Caenorhabditis elegans: one gene and its partner. The protein of the gene in region 2 interacts with the protein of the main gene of each other region in a pairwise test. Each region holds a gene or a part of one and is shown on either strand. Other genes may lie near its edges.

Region 1 (6,660 bases), on a different chromosome or scaffold from region 2:
AGTTTGTGAAACATGCTCTCCAGCATCCACCATTCCTCCAGGAATTGCCCACTCGCCATTGTCATGACGTTGAACTGCAACAAACTCCAAATCACCATTGTCGTTTGTTCTAGAAACGATCGGATCTGCTGCGTGGTTTGGACCCCAACGACCAAGCAAACCACGACCAGAAAGTCCCGTACGTCCAATAGGATTTAGTGGGCGAAGGGTGACAGGATCAAATGAGTACTGACTGGAAGGTTTCTTGATTGATTGAGTATATACACTCATAAACGCACCAAACATATGACACTCTATTGATTTTCCCATCGATCGCATTCCAAGACGGTTGGAACGTTTTCTCATCGATTTCTGGGTCTGCCCAAACAGCTCCATCAACTTTTGGATCGGTGTGAGCCGGAGGATTGTATCCTGACCATTCTTGGCTCCATTTGACAAGATTATCAGGCACATTTAGTCGGTGAATGTTACTACCAAGGTAAACCGTATCTAGAGGTTAAATTTGTATTTAATGTTAGATTAATACATTGTTTATACCGATATTTCTGCATTTTTGATGAACGAAACTCATTATCGGACGACACAAAAGATGATTCCAAATTGTCATAAATTGCCCAAAAATCGATAATCTTGGTTAGTGAGTGTAAAAATGCGGCAGAAAACTTTTGAATTAGAGAAATACGAAGAGTTTCGAGAAATTATGAGAGCAGTGATATTAAAAGTTGATGGAAATCTTGAAAAAAAGAGAAAATAATTTGTAAAAGATAAGTATCGAGAAAAATCGAAGGAAACAAGAATGATGGCCAGCGGAGACGTTTAAAACGAAGTGTGCGTTCTTAGTGAACACAAGAGTTGCGTCAGCACCGAAAATGTGTCAGCAAGGAAAGAGGAGGGAATTCGAAAAATAGTTTTTGACTCGTCGTTTAATAACGATTGAAAACATGGTACATAATATGAAACCAAAAGACACTCGAACGATATCATTTTATTCATAAGCGAATGCATTAAATAAACTACCGGCTGCATACATATATACCGCACAAAATTCGATGAGATACGCGAAAGAAAGCGAATAAATATTCAAGTGAGACTAACCATATATGAAAAGACTATTAAAGAAATGTTCAATATGCAAAAATTAAATAGGACATGGATCTCCTGAGATGCCAACTACTTTTTCTTCTTTCTGTTCAATTTTCTCGACGAGGAGGACGACGAATCGAGTTCAACTTGACTTTCAGTTATTTCCTGTAAATTAAACATTTTTATTGTGGCGAGCATTGGTTAACCAACCTCTTGAGTTATTTTTCCAGCATCCAACTGCTCTTTCAGCTTATTTTGAGTTTCAAAATGCATCAAAAGATCATTGACTTGTGACTGAAGATCTTCGATTTTCTGAAAAGAAAAGCTTTCAAGAGATCAAGGGAATCTATTTAGACGAATACCTTTTCATACTCGGTTCGAGCAGTTTTCTGACTTTCAATAAGCTTTTCCACTTGACCTTTCCACACTTGCTGATCTTTTCTCAACATTTGATTTATTTCACGTTCATCTTTCAACTCATTTGCAAGCTTATTCACTTTTTCATTTGTCTGCGTTGCTCGTTTCTCTGCCACTTTTCTCGCCGTCACAGTATCATCTAAATCTCCTTTTAATGATTTCAATTCAGTTGATCGTTCCGTCAGTTGATGCTCGAGATTCTCTACTTGAGCATAAGCAGTTTTCTCCATTTTTGACATCGTTTGCTCCATATCGTGACGTAGACCTTCAAAATATTTCCGTTGATCCTCAAGTTGACTGGTCAGGAGTAGAGTGTATTCGAGTTTGATTCCCTCAAGCTTGTCTCCACCCTTTTGGTTTTTGTCATCAAAGCTCTGCAATTTTCAACATTTTTAGGGAATTTGAGTGAAGACTAAACATTCTGGTCTATTTAGTCAGAATACTTGAAAACAAAATTTTAAATGAATTTATAAATTTTCTGTATAGAATGAAAAGGCCACAAAACAGTGCTGGACTTTTTTTTTGCTTTTTTTTCTGTTTTTCAAAGGTATTTTTTCACGAAAAAAAAAAAATTTTGCTTTATGATAGCAAAAATAAAGTAAAAAATCAAACACTTTGGATTTCAAACACTTTTAGAACATGATCATACTTATTATTCAACGATAAAGGGGAAAATGAATATATTACAGGATTTTAGCACTTATTCCTAGGCAGAACAAAAGTATTTGTGTGATAATTAATTTGAAACGCATTTACAGACGCATATATATATATATATATATTTGTTTTCAAACAAAAACCAATAGAATTCAATGAGAAAACCCGAAAAATTGCATCCAAAAAAATTAATTGATTCATTGCCCGAGAGGAGTACACGGCCGAGAATTTTCAAAACTAATTAGTGCGCGAAATTCAAATTAGTTATACGAAAAGGTTGATTTTCGGCACTTTGAAGCCTCAAAACATTCTTTTTTTTTGTTTCCACCAGTTTTTTAACAAAAAATTATTGTTTTTAAATCAACAATTTTTTTTTGGTCCAGTATGAACATACCGCATTCGATTCTCTCTGATACTCGACAAGTTTCCCATCAGCTCCATTTTCAATCAATCTATGCACGTAATTGTCTCCAGCATAATCCCAGACTCGTTCTCCTCCAACTTTCAAACTATAAGTATGTGAAGTGAGCTCCCAATGTCGTTGTGCATGTTGTTCTGCGTATCTTCCACAACCTATATTTCCACAAATTAGACAAATCCATAGATCGTTGCTCATTCCACAATCATTACAACGTTGCTCTGCGACAACTTCTGGAGATTGAACATATCGACAGACTGGACAAGTATTGTCTGCCCATTGTTCCAGGCAACGAGCATGAAATGAATGATTACATAGAATTGCAAGAACACTATCATCCATTCGTTCCAGACAAACTGCACAAGTTGGAAGCTCCGTAAGAGATGTATCATCGGAGGAGAAGAGATCATTCGACGTTGTCTGAAATTTATAAATTGTTTCGAAATATCTGGAATTATTGAAATAAAATAATAATAACTTACACATTCAATTCTATCCACAAAGAAAAGCGTGCAACAATACGATTCGAGATCATTAAACGGGCAATTGTTGAATTCCTCGTAGAATGTTACAGCATCATTCTGAAATAAATATTTGCCAATTAATCGTTAGTATAACTTGAACCTACATGTTCCTTGAACTTGATAATCAACATATACTGATTTGGCGCTGGATCTCGAACAACTTTAATACTAACAATCATCGGAAGTGAGATACACATGAATGATATAATCTCACGAACTTCAACTTGTGCTGGTACAGCATACATACACAACATTCGGCACTGTGCAACTTTTGTCAACTTCTCATCATTGTACTTGTAAAAATGCATAATTCCTTCGGTCTTTTCCGTGAGAGGATTTCCAGAATAATAGGCAACTTGGTCAGCTGAAATTTTTAGATTTCATTTTCCATCTCACATGTTTCAAACTCACGTGGTCCTTCTGAAACAGATCTTCCACCAGATTTTTCCGATGTTCCGGCAACCGAAGAACTCGAGTCAACAAGTTTTTCTCCATCTAAAGATTCGATGACCACTTCAGAATAGGTCCGTCGTCCTTTGTGGTAGTTGTGTGATGGCTCGGATGACTGAAAATCAGATTAAGCTTTTAGTCTCAATAAAATTTGATCTATATACCATAACTCCAATTGGCGGATCTTCTTCTCTGCCTTTCAGTTCCTTTTTTGGAGGAGTATTTCCTTTTTTGACTAGTCTCTGACGAGTCCGTTCACCTGCCAGTGGGGATTCACTTCCTGCTTTCGAGTCGTCGATAAAAGATTGCACGATTTTTGTCCGGTCTCTCACTTCGAGCCGTAAAACTAATGGCACGTAAAGACTGCTCATACACCTAAAAGTTACAGTTAGAGGATCTGAGATCTGAAATAATAGGATGTAATGAAGTAGTATAAAATGGTTAAAAACCACCAGTATTTGAACAATAAAAAGTAATAAGGTATGATATTTTCCATAAATGAGGGAATGATAAACCGTAATTAGACAAAAGAACGCAATAGACTGGCATGAAAAGTGATTGTACAATTTGAAAAATACCAACAAGTAAAAAAAAAAGGTTATTACATATGTAATCTAGAGGTTTCAAACTACAGTAATCGTTAAAACAAATCTATTTAGATCGAACTCTATGTACAATTCCATTGATTCCATCCGCATCTGTACGGATAACATTTCTGAGAAGAAGTGGAACATTGTTGTATCCATTTTTAGCCGGTTTCTGTTGCTTCTCGTAATTTTCTGAATCATTTGAAAAACTCGACATCAAACTGGAAATAGTCTCCAAACAGTCTGATGATGTGGCAGGTGTGTCAAGTTGAACACCAGCTGGGAAGAAATATTGAAGACTTCTCCAAATATCTTCTCGATTCATTCTTGAAAGAAATGTTGCTCGAAGTTGTCGTTCTGCTCGACTAATCAAATGTGGAGCTAGGTTGGCCATGATAGTTTCAGCAGTAATCAGATTCATCACTTTGTCCAGACGACTATTGATTTTTTGACTCAAAACTTTAGAACTTCCAGCCAATAGAGTAGTCATTTGAGATATTCCACATTTTTCCATCATCTGCTTCACATCTTCTCCCATTCTGAACAATGACAAATTCAACGCATTTGCAGCAATATTCGGCTTGACTCTTTCATTAGGATCTCGCTTGAGTAGGTCAAAAATGACATCTCGTGCCACAAAATTGACACGAGATGGGAGTGCTGGTAGTTCTGATTCCTGGTATGTTGCAGTATCAAGAAGTTTGTAGAATGGATTTGATCGTGTTAGAACTTCATAAGAAAGGCCTCCAGCTGCCCATGTATCTGCCATTTCGAAGTTTACTTTTCTGTAAAAACTTTGATTATATACAGTACTCTAAACTTCAAAACATACACATTCTTTCCAGGAACAGCCGTCGCAATTTCTGGTGCTTTTGTCTTGGCATTTCCTCCAAGACTAACTTCATCTGATTCATAGTCTACTTGCCAATTGTCACATGCAAGTGCACATCCAAAATCGGCGACAACTAATTGGGGAATCTCGTCGTCAAAATCATATTCCAGAAGAATATTATCACTTTTCATGTCTCGCTGAGCAACTTTATGCTTATGAAGATATGTACATGCTTCTAATAGTTGAGCAATTATCACTCGTCCTGTCCAATAATTTCGATGACGAGTCCATACATATTCATGAAGTGTTTGTCGGTATCGTCTCATTACTACGTACATTGTTTTCGGTTCGGAGGCAATTGACTCATACCAACGTGCAGTGTGAAGGGCATCTGGATATCTGGAAAATCTTATTCTCAATCATTATCAATAAATTTCAAAGCTAACCGTTCAATCGCATCTGGCAAAACTTTTAACGAATCAATAAAAGCTGTCTGAATTCGAACAACATTTGGATGTTTTGCTGGAAGAGGTCTAAATGTTCCCATTTGTCCATTGAGCAACTTTGCAGCATTCGGATATGGAGCCAATTCATTTCCCATTGATTTCAAGAGATGAGCATCTCCATCGCGATCATGTTCAAAATTAAACATTAATTTGATTGCCAACGGGAATTTCTGCAATGATTTTTCAATATTAATCATCGAATTAAGATTATCAACTACCTTTTGTGCAACTTTGCTAACTGGCGGAATTTCTGCAAGTATATTTGTGACTTCATTAAACCCTGCACCATAGTGAGTATTCCCTGAGGATTCTGCATCAGAATTGGCTAATCTCGCAGAGTAAACTGCTGCATTGCATCCTTGACCGAGAAATTCCCCTGAAAACTCAAACAATGGAGAAATATCACTGAAAAAAGCATACCAAACTCATAAGAATCAATTCTATTCGGCCATTCAGTGCTTTTCAAATCCTCATTGTATCGTAGAGAATTGCCAAATATCTGCCTGATTCGTTCGACTAAATCCACATTTCTTGGCAATTCTTTACGAATCGGTTGAAACTTTCGACGCCAATCATTTTGATTTTGAAATCGATGTCTTTCGATTATTACTGAGGAAAATGGCCGGAAAACTCGACCGTGGCGAGTTACAAGGCGAGCCTGAAAGGAATTCAATTTTAATTTTTTTTTGTTGAATTTTCATAAACTTACAATTCGTAGAGCATTTTGTCGTGGAAATGGAGCCTTTTTGAGTACGACATGAACTCCTAAATTATAAGTGGCGGGAAATATTCTCGGCAGGAAGCGTTGGAAAATTGGTAGTCGTCCACCTTTTGCAACTAACTAAAAAATTTCAATTTAACGATTATAAAAAAGAACGATTTTGAAGATACCTCATTTGCGATTCGATATGCTGCTTTTCCGAATCGTTTCATAGACATTCTTACTTCTATACACTGAAAATATTATAAGTATTATAATTTAATATAATTTTTTGGTTTTTTAAGAGAAAAACGACAAAATTCCGAGAGAAAAAAATATTTTGAATTTAAAAAAATTCGAAAAAGCATCACTTTTTCTCATAATGTTTAAAATTGAAACAAATATCAAAGAACGGTTGAAAACCCGTAATTTTTTCAAAACGGGTCTCTAAGAAATCGAAAATTTCATTAGACTAGTTACAAAAAA
Region 2 (9,334 bases):
TTGTAAATCATGATTCGATTCCAGAATGGAAATGAACACATTTTAAGCTCGCCGCTTTTCCCGCCGTTCTATGCGCTCTCAATCGATTACACTTGGGTAGCCGTTTTCACATGTAAGCACGTACCACGGGTTGATAACATTGAATTAAACTACAAAATGTTTCAGTTATTGACGTGTTTCTGTGCAACGTTCCATTTTTCAAAGATGCAAAAATCCAAAAAGATCGAAAAGTGACCTGGGATTTGATAAAGAAGTCACTGAAGCTTCAAGGATGGAATCAGCTCCTGTGGATTTACCCGATGGCACTTGTCCAGTTAATTTGGGTACCTGATACAGAGCTTCCTATCCTGGCACCAACAGTTTTTGAAATGCTTTCACAGCTGGCTATATTTTTCCTGGCCTTTGATTTCACATATTTCTGGTTCCATTATATCAATCACAAGGTAATTGATAACAAACAACGGTTGCATGTGTGAAGTATGATTGGAGTAGTCATAAAACACGGTTTTTAATAACTTGTAAATCGAGTTACATTGAAACTAATTAGACCATGTTTCACAATATAATTCAAAACCTTCTCTGAATGTATATAATCGGGAACTCACCAGCTACAAATAATTTTTTGTTGTGCAAAGCTCGCCAATTTTCCACCAGGTTTACATTCGTTTAGGCAAAAGTTTCCAAAACGTTGCACATTCCGAGTACTAATTCATATTGCGGAACCTGTCATTTTGTCGAAACGTCCTGATAGGAACTTTTTGATTGTTGCAAACGTTTCAGTGTTTATTTTTACGATTCCTATTATTTGGTTATCCATGTATGCAAAGAGGTTTATTAAAATGTATATTTTGACGTCACATAATGCATTTTAGTTTATGCTATGACGTCATAATTTACATCAATGTTGATTTCTTCATTAGCAGCTTTTCTCTCACTTGAAATTAAGATTCGAAATAATTTTTTACCAACGTTAAGCACGTTTCAGTTTGAATTTCATAAAGCTATTACATATTTTTCAGCGATTCAAAAATTATATTATCAGTGGAATGAATCACTGATAGTCATAATTGTCCTATACACAAATCATGGTAATATCACTCAACATTTTGCAGGTAAAATGGCTCTACCGCTGGTGTCACTCTGTTCATCATATGTACTCATCCCCATTCGCAGCATCTGCACAACATCTTCACCCATTTGAGGTTTTTGAAAATTGAGATTTATAACTAAAATAGTAAGTTTTTTCAGCTGTTCTTTGTTGGAACATTCATCACCACTATCCCATGGATCTTCCCAACTCACTGCTTGACCTACTGGATTTGGTTCTTTATCGCCCAGAGCGTCTCTTATGAGGTATTAAAATTTGACCTTTAAAGTTGACAAAGTTGAATTCAGGTTCACATTGGATACGACTTCCCATTTGCTCTTCATCGCATTTTCTGGTTCTACTCGGGTGCTCCGGCTCATGACATGCACCATCTGAGACCACTGACATGTTTCCAACCGTGGTTCAACTATCTCGACAGACTCATGGGTTACCATATTACCTACGCCGATTTGAAAAAGATGACCGAGGCAAAATTCAAAAAGTTCGGGCTCTATTCAGCTGAAGACGAGAAAGGATTAATCAAAATTAACTAAGCCACGTACATGTATTACCCCGTAACGCAATAAACGAACTTTTTTTGCTGTTGAAATGTGCATGAGTGAGCAAGACTTTTTCGGAACTTTGTGTTTGCTCCCAGACAGACCGGAAAATGTGAAAGTAACTGAATCAGAAGAAATGTGGTATTGAAACGTGAGATCTTGCAAAAGGAACTAAGAACACGAGACTTGACCAAAAGTTCAAAAGGTTGCTTGAAATGTAAATAATTTTAAATCTGAAATATCCCCCACCAAAAGGGTTAACCTGTCCAAATTGTGGTAAATCTATTTTTTTTAATTGAATTTTGTTTTCATAGTCAAACAATCGTAATTCTGAAACGTGGCCAAAAATGTCTACAAGTTTTAAAACAAGCAACTGTGACTCAAACATTTGTTCGGAGTATTATTTTTAACCAGGTGAATCGTTTCTATTTGGAACCTCGAATCGTCTTCAACAGAACATGCTTCACCCAATTTTCTCGCTGATGAGATTTGTGCAGAGGCGCATGTCTGTGTGTCATCGTGTAACTTCTATTTGCCGGCACAAAGAAGATGAGCAACAAAAAGACCTCCTCCAAACTTGCCCCCATTCAAATCGCCCATTAGCGTTTAGCCTTTCTCTCTTATAGGACCACCCATTGAAGCTGCAAAGATTCACGCATCCCAAACGCGTCGAAATAGAGGATGATGGGGGGACCAATTGGAAATGAGACATGCGCGAGAAGAGAGAAAGAGCCGAAGAAAGGAGCAGTTCTTCCCGCATATTTTCACTAGTATGTGTGTGCATTTATAGCCTTCCCCCTTCTCCTTCTTCACGGCTCCTCCTCCACGATGTGGGTGATGAGAGCGAAGAGGGGCCAGACCGGGAGCCCCTGCGCTTCTTCGACTAGCATTGTGCATTCAGAATCGATAGCTGTGTGTGTCTTGCCATTTCGTCTACTACATTGGGCTAGTGGTGCTGCTGCTGCTGTCGCTGCCGCGAGGAACCTCACATACGTCTTCTTATTAAAATTTCGGAACGAGCGACGACGGCCAACGGGTCATTCTTTCATTCTTTTATTTTGTTGTCAACTCTACCTTGGTTTTAAATGGAGAATGTCTGTTTTCAGCAAAGATTACGAGGTAAACATATAATTTTTCATATATTTGTTTATTGTCGGCTGAGTACGTAGCAAAATATTCGTAGATTATGTATATTCCGTTTAGAATCTTTGATGAAAATTTAATGAACTGCAAAACAGGTCAACCAAGTTGCTGATTGCCAGAAAGTAGCCTTAGGTTCGGAAATCATCGGTTGTCGGCTGCCGAAAGTTTTATCGTTCGCCAACTTCGGCAACTTTCGATATTAATTTCAATTGTTTTGTAAATACGCATTCAAAGACCCTAAATATTGCGAATATCGTCACTGTAAATAAAACAATTATATTTTTTCCTCGAAAAACACTCTGAAATATGAGTTTAACAGAAATATATGTTTGAACAACGCCAAGGCCTCGGCAGCCGACGGTTGCCGGTTGCTGAAAATTTCAGCGATTGGCAAATTCGGTAACCGCTCATTGACTGATACCCAGATGATGCTGATGCAATTAATTTTCAACCTGTAACCTAAATTTTAGTGAAACAAGGTAGCCAACGAACTTATACCTCTTGATAAGAAAAGTACTTGGCTTCTCGGGCAATAGGTACCACAAAAACTACTAAAAATAACCAAAGTGTCAATCAGCGCCAAACACACAATCTCATTTCCTCCGTGTTGAGTCTGTAATAATTGATTTTAGATCTGGAGACGAGGGTGAGAAAATGGAAATTCTTGAAGTTGGGATTGACTGAGGTTCGGCTACGGCCGAGAGATCGCCGATCAACTTCGGTAGATCAAAAACATAAAGGTTTGTCTTGAAATATTGGTGTCTAGCCTTCAAATGGCATCATTATTCTTAAAATTCCATCTAATTATTCTTTGTGATGAGATCATCGGCTCAATTCCAAAAAACACGTATGTGTTGTCATTCTTAATTCCCTCAAATTTTGTTTTACAGAATGCTCTTCCACATCTTCAAGTCCTCAACACCAACGGCCGAATAACATTGGGTATTTAACAAGCCCCATGGAAAGAAAATGTGTGCCTGGAGAACGACCTTTAGTTATTACATACATACAATTTCAGTTACTCCGCTTTCCATGAAACCATCGCCATCCAGAAGAGATACTGAGAAAGATGCGTTGGAATACGAGTTTCTAGAAGGGTACAAGAAATCGGGAACATTAGAAATTGATGGTAAGACATACATCAAAGCTTTAATTTTTAAAATCTTTTTCCTATCAGGAGAAAAGCAAGTTGTCGACCCAAACGAGATTCACATCATCAGCCTGCTCGGAAGCGGCTCTTGTGGTGTAGTCGAATCTGCGACGGTTCGCTCAAAATTGATGGCTGTGAAGGTGAGCATTACCCCTCACACGGAGGCAGTGATGTATGGTTGAGATACACATCCGGACCACTTTGAATAGAATAAATCTTGCATGGCTCCAGTATGAACTCTTGAAAAAAGATTGACAGAATCGTTGCATACGCAATTCAAAAGAGAAGGGGTCCTTCACGGGTTATCATGCGGGGGCGAAAAATTGTAGTGGTGCTAAAGACCATTAGAAATTCCATTGTTTTCGTTTTTCTTGATTCAATTGTCAATGCAAAGCAAATGCGTTAGAGAGGAGGAGAGACCTCTAAAATTGGTGGAAAACAAATTTCAGTAAAAATTCTGAACCTCTTTCAATGTGAGAACAGTAGTTTGATAAATGCGACTCTAGAGAATACGTTGACACAGAATCATAACGGTTCCCTCAGCTTTGTCTTCTTCAGACTATGTACAAAAATGACAATAAGGAAAATTTGAAACGAATTCTTCGTGACGTCCGAATTATGTCAATGTGCAATTCTCCGTTCATTGTCACCAGTTACGGATATTTCATGTTTGATGTAAGTGTGACATTCTTATTAACATATCCAATTCCTCCATTTCCAGTCGTCTGTAAAAATTTGTATGCAAATCATGTCAGCGTGTTGTGAGAAGCTGCTGCGTCGCATTTATCATTCAAAATTGGATTTTTTCCCCGAGTTTGTGGCCGGTCACATCGTCTACTCGGCGATTAGTGCACTGGATTATCTCAAGGAAAAACATGTAAGAGATTAAAGAGAAACTGCTGTGCACAAACTAAACAACTAATTCCGGATTTTCAGTCGATTATACATCGCGATATAAAACCCTCGAATATCCTTTTTGATGACAGCGGCAATGTAAAGCTGTGTGATTTTGGGATAAGTGGATTTATGACTGATTCGATGGCTCATTCCAAAAGTGCAGGATGTCCGCCATATATGGCTCCTGAAAGATTAACTATCGAGGTATGAAATTGAATGTTGATCTGTGAACAAAAATGTGCCGGTGGCGGTGACGCCCTCCACGCGCCCGATTTTTCCCGCAACTTGCCCCGGTTCCCTGCTACTAGTTTCGGCTTGATCATGCTTGACATGTCAAAAAAAAAATTTTGAACTTTTTTTTTTGAAACATAATCTTGACCCGAAATGTGGGTCACGTCCCGATCGCAACAGTGAGCCGCGGGGCACTCCTGTTAATAGGTCTAAAAGTAAATAATGAAGTTTGAAAAAATTGCAGACGAATTCCAAATACGACGTTCGAAGCGATGTCTGGTCATTGGGAATCACTGTTTACCAACTTGTCACTGGACTCTACCCATTTCCACTAAATGACATGGAATTCACAACTCTCACCATTATTGCAAACCTGAATTTGCCATCACCAAGTCTGAGAGAAGAGGTTTCGGAATTTCCGTTACGTTTTCAATACGCTATGTTTCAGACAAAGCGAAGTTTTTCACCTCTATTCATTGAATTCTTGGACCTATGCTTGCGAAAGGATGTTCGAGAAAGACCTGAATATAGGCAATTAATGGTAAAATAATAGGTTGGAGAAATTTTTAAAACAAAGGTTTTTCTACAGAAGCATGATTTCTACCTTGATTACGACCCTGCCAGTGGAAGTGCTTACAAGTTCAAAGCTGTAAGTGTTTTTTTTTGCAAATTTTTCAGTACAAAAACTGACTGTAATTTCAGATCAATGGAAAATGCAATCAAGTTGCGGATTGGTTCGTCGACGTGATTCGACTTTCAAAAACCGAAGATGAATTGAAGTCGATCCCAAACACGCCTTGTGTCAACTAATTATTGAAGACTTTTAAGCAAATTATCACTTTCGTGTTCTCTCAGAAATTCTCATTCTTTTAAAATTGAAACGAGTCTGATATCATCACTGGTGCTCTTCTCTGCATAATATTTGTTTCTCGGTTGCTTCCAGTTCACTTTTTGAAGAAATTCTAGGTATGATTTAAAAAGAAATACTGGGTTTTTTAAACGAACAAACTAAAAATCTGTCCAAATGGACGAATATCGTAATAAAAGTTCTCAAAAAAATGTAAATTGTTTTAATGGCTGTTCTATTTTGCGAAGCATTGGTAGTTTAACGCATATCATTTTGCAAAATAAGGACCATTTAAAGTTTTCTAAGAAAGCAATAACCTACCGATTCTTGTCCACAAAATCCTTCGATCATCGGGGAAGCTCCTAGAATCTGGTTCAATTTTTGAGGAGGCTGCAAGCTTGTCAACTGGGCTTGCAACTGGGCTCCGGGATATTTCTGAAATTTGAAGTTTAAATTAAAATTTCATTTAGGACAACTTACTGATAATCCGTTTTTTTTTTAATTTTCTGTTCTTGTTTCTGTTCTGTTTCTGCTGCTCCTCACTTTCCGCTTTCCGACGACGTTCGTGGTGCAATTTCTCTAAAATTTTGATATATTTTTGCTTAAATTTTATCGATTTGTAAGTGACTTTCGAGTGTGGTACACTTTTTGCATCGCTAATCTGCCTTCGATACTTTGCTCACCTAATCTGAAAATTGGAAATTTAGAGCTTTTCAAAATAATTGTTATGAGATAACTTACGGAGTTGGCTGGAGGAAGAACTTGGTGATGAAGCCATACTGTGCGAAGTTTCTGAAAATCGAGAGTACGGTAAACTACGGTATAATTGGATTTTAAAAGAAAAAAAAAATCAAAAGTAAGTTTGCCACAAGAGCCGGATATGATAAAGTGGCACCAAGAGAAAGAGAGTGAGAGAGTGTGTAAAAGTAAGAGGGTGCTAGACGAGAAATACATAAACACAATAACACCTTCTATTTTGCCGCCACCGCCAAAAAAAGACGCTAACTGTACGCCTTCCGGTTGTCCGTGGGGCGGATTTGCAACAACATTTCTGAATAGTTTTTCTTGCTAGTTTTTTAAATTTTTTCTTACTTCTATTTTGATCAAATCTTGAAAATTTTCAATCTAGAAAGTTTTCTCACTTATTTTTCTTACAGTAATTATAACTTGCTATCAAGAGCACAATGCCTGCTGCTCCAAACTACAGTATTATGGTAACCAGCACCTACTTATCACAATTTCCAACTTTAAAACTTTCCAGACATTTACCCTTTGAAGGAAGCCACTCGAACTTGAAGGAATCCACTCAAAACTTTGATATCACCATTTTCGACCGCAAAAACTTTTTGCATTGAAGATGCAGTCGTAAGAACAACAGAATCCCAATTTCTGCTGAAGAAAAATGGAGAAAGAAACATCAATATAATGCAAATTACGAACAACGGAATCGCGACGAAAAGGCAGCGTTCGAAGGATTTCTTGTCGAAACAAGTGCGATCAAGGACAATTTGGAGCAATTGGTTCAAGAAGTTATGCCTGAAAATGTGGATCAGTTTGTAAAGAAATCGGTGACAGTTATGGAGACAATCCTGCAAAAAATCTCCAGACATAGAGGTGGATGTGAGATCTTAATTTGAGATCCACGTAAACTTCATGGACAAGTATCAAGAAGCCATGAACTACATATCTTGGCAGCACCAGCACGATTTTGTCATAGCCCAGGAGAAGCACAAAGACCTTCTACCTACCCAGGAAAGAACCTGGTCATCGTGGATTTGCATAGGGGAGAGAATTGCAAGGCAACAGCTGAAAATTGACTGCATCAAAAACTTGGAGAAAATTACAACGTTGATTGGGAAGAGGGACCTGCTTGAAGATTGCATGCCATCGTCAGTGGAAACATAGTCTTAGTCAAATTTCTGATTTTTTATTTTCAATCGCCCGAATCCTCCAATTTCTTGTTTTTCAGATCTGGATCAAATGCTCGAAATCTACACCATTTTCTTCAAGCTGATGTTGCAAAACTGCGGAGCCCGCCGACGCTGAGCTAGTCAACAAAATCGTCGAGCATTTTTCAAACAACTTTCCGCACCCAGAGAATCCTTCCGAACTTCCAACATTTGCGTCTACGTCTTGCTCGAGACTTGAAATCGCTCAACTTGCAGTAAAAGTTGTGAATAAAACGTGGTGAGAACGTGATGATAAATTAAAATCTAGAAAACTTTGAAAAATGCCAATTTTTTTCAGAACTTTTCTGGCTCACCACTCCACTTCCAAAATCAGCACATGCCATAGTTTTATAATTTATATATTTCTAGTCATTGTTTTAACTTGTTCAAATTTTATTTAAAATAAAGCTTCAGATAAATTGAAAATTGAATTTTTAAAAATTGAATTATTGCGGAACTGATTTCACATAAAAACTGAACTACATTTCCTTTTGAAATGTTAACTTCTGATTTTCCATTTTGGCAGAGATGAGTTCAGTACGCGTTTTCTGGAAGAGCTTCAGAGCATCTTAGAGTGCAGCTTATGAAAATACCTTGTAGTCTGGCAAATGAGGTTTGAAGGAATCACCTTTGGCATTCATTTCCATTCCTGCTCTGGAAACGGCTTCTTGTCAGCTCCGGAACTGATACAATCTCTCCGATGTCAGCTCTCCTGGAAGTGAGACAGAACGAGAAAAAATCGTTATTACTGTAGCGATGATATTCAAATTTTTATTTATTATAAACCACCTCAAAATGACGACAATTAGCAATTTTCGAACTATACTCAATCAATGAGCTTGTATCGAGAAACGGTAATCCCTTTTTAGAGAGATTAAAGAAAGAGCACAAGTATTCATCTATCTAGCGGCGAGGTACAAGCAATAATCCATGGGACACTTAAAAAAAAACGGAGGTCATCGCGATGCCCAAAAAAATTCAAACGCATACCCGTGGCACATACAAGATCTCTGCAAAAAAAGAGCCGTTTTTGGTGTTGTTTTTGGAACTCCTACATCGTCTATCAAAAAATTCGTTGTTTATCGATTACTCTTTGTTTGCACCCCATTCATATTGTCAACTGGTGACACCCAGTTTCTTATCAGTAACATTTTCTCCTCAAATGACTAGCAGAAATATGTTCTGTAATAATTTGGAATCACAAAATGTTATGAGAGTTTAATTTTGTTTTCTCCTTGTGTCGGTTGCCTTACAAAATGTTTTTTCAGGAAAAATGCCGACGTTCGGACGTCGAGTTCCGAGACCAAAACTGGATTTGCCAGCGCTCAGAGAAACAATTCCCGAGGTGTTGAAAAACGGTGCTCTTGGTTATATCTGTCTGTCTGGTAGGAATCTGAACGTTCCGGAAGATATGCTTCATGGTGGAGTAAGAATTGGAAGTGGTGAAGGACAATCAGCAGTGTACCGCTT

The links.
Region 1: the proteins of jkk-1 (region 2) and brap-2 interact in a two-hybrid assay, tested with the Caenorhabditis elegans proteins (one large-scale study listed by BioGRID).

What each region holds. Positions count from the first base shown.
Region 1 is NC_003280.10:5,389,267-5,395,926, forward strand, and holds brap-2 (BRCA1-associated protein homolog 2), read right to left. Parts: upstream 3,925-6,660; 5' UTR 3,921-3,924; coding exon 3,714-3,920; intron 3,665-3,713; coding exon 3,511-3,664; intron 3,464-3,510; coding exon 3,204-3,463; intron 3,157-3,203; coding exon 3,058-3,156; intron 2,996-3,057; coding exon 2,552-2,995; intron 1,875-2,551; coding exon 1,446-1,874; intron 1,396-1,445; coding exon 1,294-1,395; intron 1,249-1,293; coding exon 1,171-1,248; 3' UTR 975-1,170; downstream 1-974. Other genes in the region: ndx-6 (Putative nudix hydrolase 6), read right to left, coding at 1-232, 279-489, 538-571; pink-1 (Serine/threonine-protein kinase pink-1, mitochondrial), read right to left, coding at 4,201-4,921, 4,969-5,367, 5,415-5,644, 5,693-5,850, 5,895-6,132, 6,184-6,315, 6,366-6,413.
Region 2 is NC_003284.9:5,365,933-5,375,266, forward strand, and holds jkk-1 (Dual specificity mitogen-activated protein kinase kinase jkk-1), read left to right. Parts: upstream 1-2,535; 5' UTR 2,536-2,732; coding exon 2,733-2,766; intron 2,767-3,383; coding exon of another isoform or gene 3,384-3,403; intron 3,404-3,422; coding exon 3,423-3,530; intron 3,531-3,680; coding exon 3,681-3,761; intron 3,762-3,808; coding exon 3,809-3,919; intron 3,920-3,967; coding exon 3,968-4,080; intron 4,081-4,498; coding exon 4,499-4,615; intron 4,616-4,661; coding exon 4,662-4,817; intron 4,818-4,876; coding exon 4,877-5,041; intron 5,042-5,312; coding exon 5,313-5,474; intron 5,475-5,516; coding exon 5,517-5,609; intron 5,610-5,657; coding exon 5,658-5,717; intron 5,718-5,770; coding exon 5,771-5,878; 3' UTR 5,879-6,236; coding exon of another isoform or gene 6,237-6,350; 3' UTR 6,351-6,395; coding exon of another isoform or gene 6,396-6,494; 3' UTR 6,495-6,656; coding exon of another isoform or gene 6,657-6,693; 3' UTR 6,694-7,099; coding exon of another isoform or gene 7,100-7,129; intron 7,130-7,176; coding exon of another isoform or gene 7,177-7,804; 3' UTR 7,805-7,884; coding exon of another isoform or gene 7,885-8,102; intron 8,103-8,162; and 1 more. Other genes in the region: F35C8.5 (Cholesterol 25-hydroxylase-like protein), read left to right, coding at 25-112, 166-443, 1,113-1,202, 1,249-1,353, 1,396-1,641; F35C8.8 (uncharacterized protein), read right to left, coding at 3,384-3,403, 6,237-6,350, 6,396-6,494, 6,657-6,693; sek-4 (mitogen-activated protein kinase kinase), read left to right, coding at 9,138-9,334. UniProt on the Caenorhabditis elegans protein: Dual specificity protein kinase which acts as an essential component of the JNK signal transduction pathway. May phosphorylate jnk-1.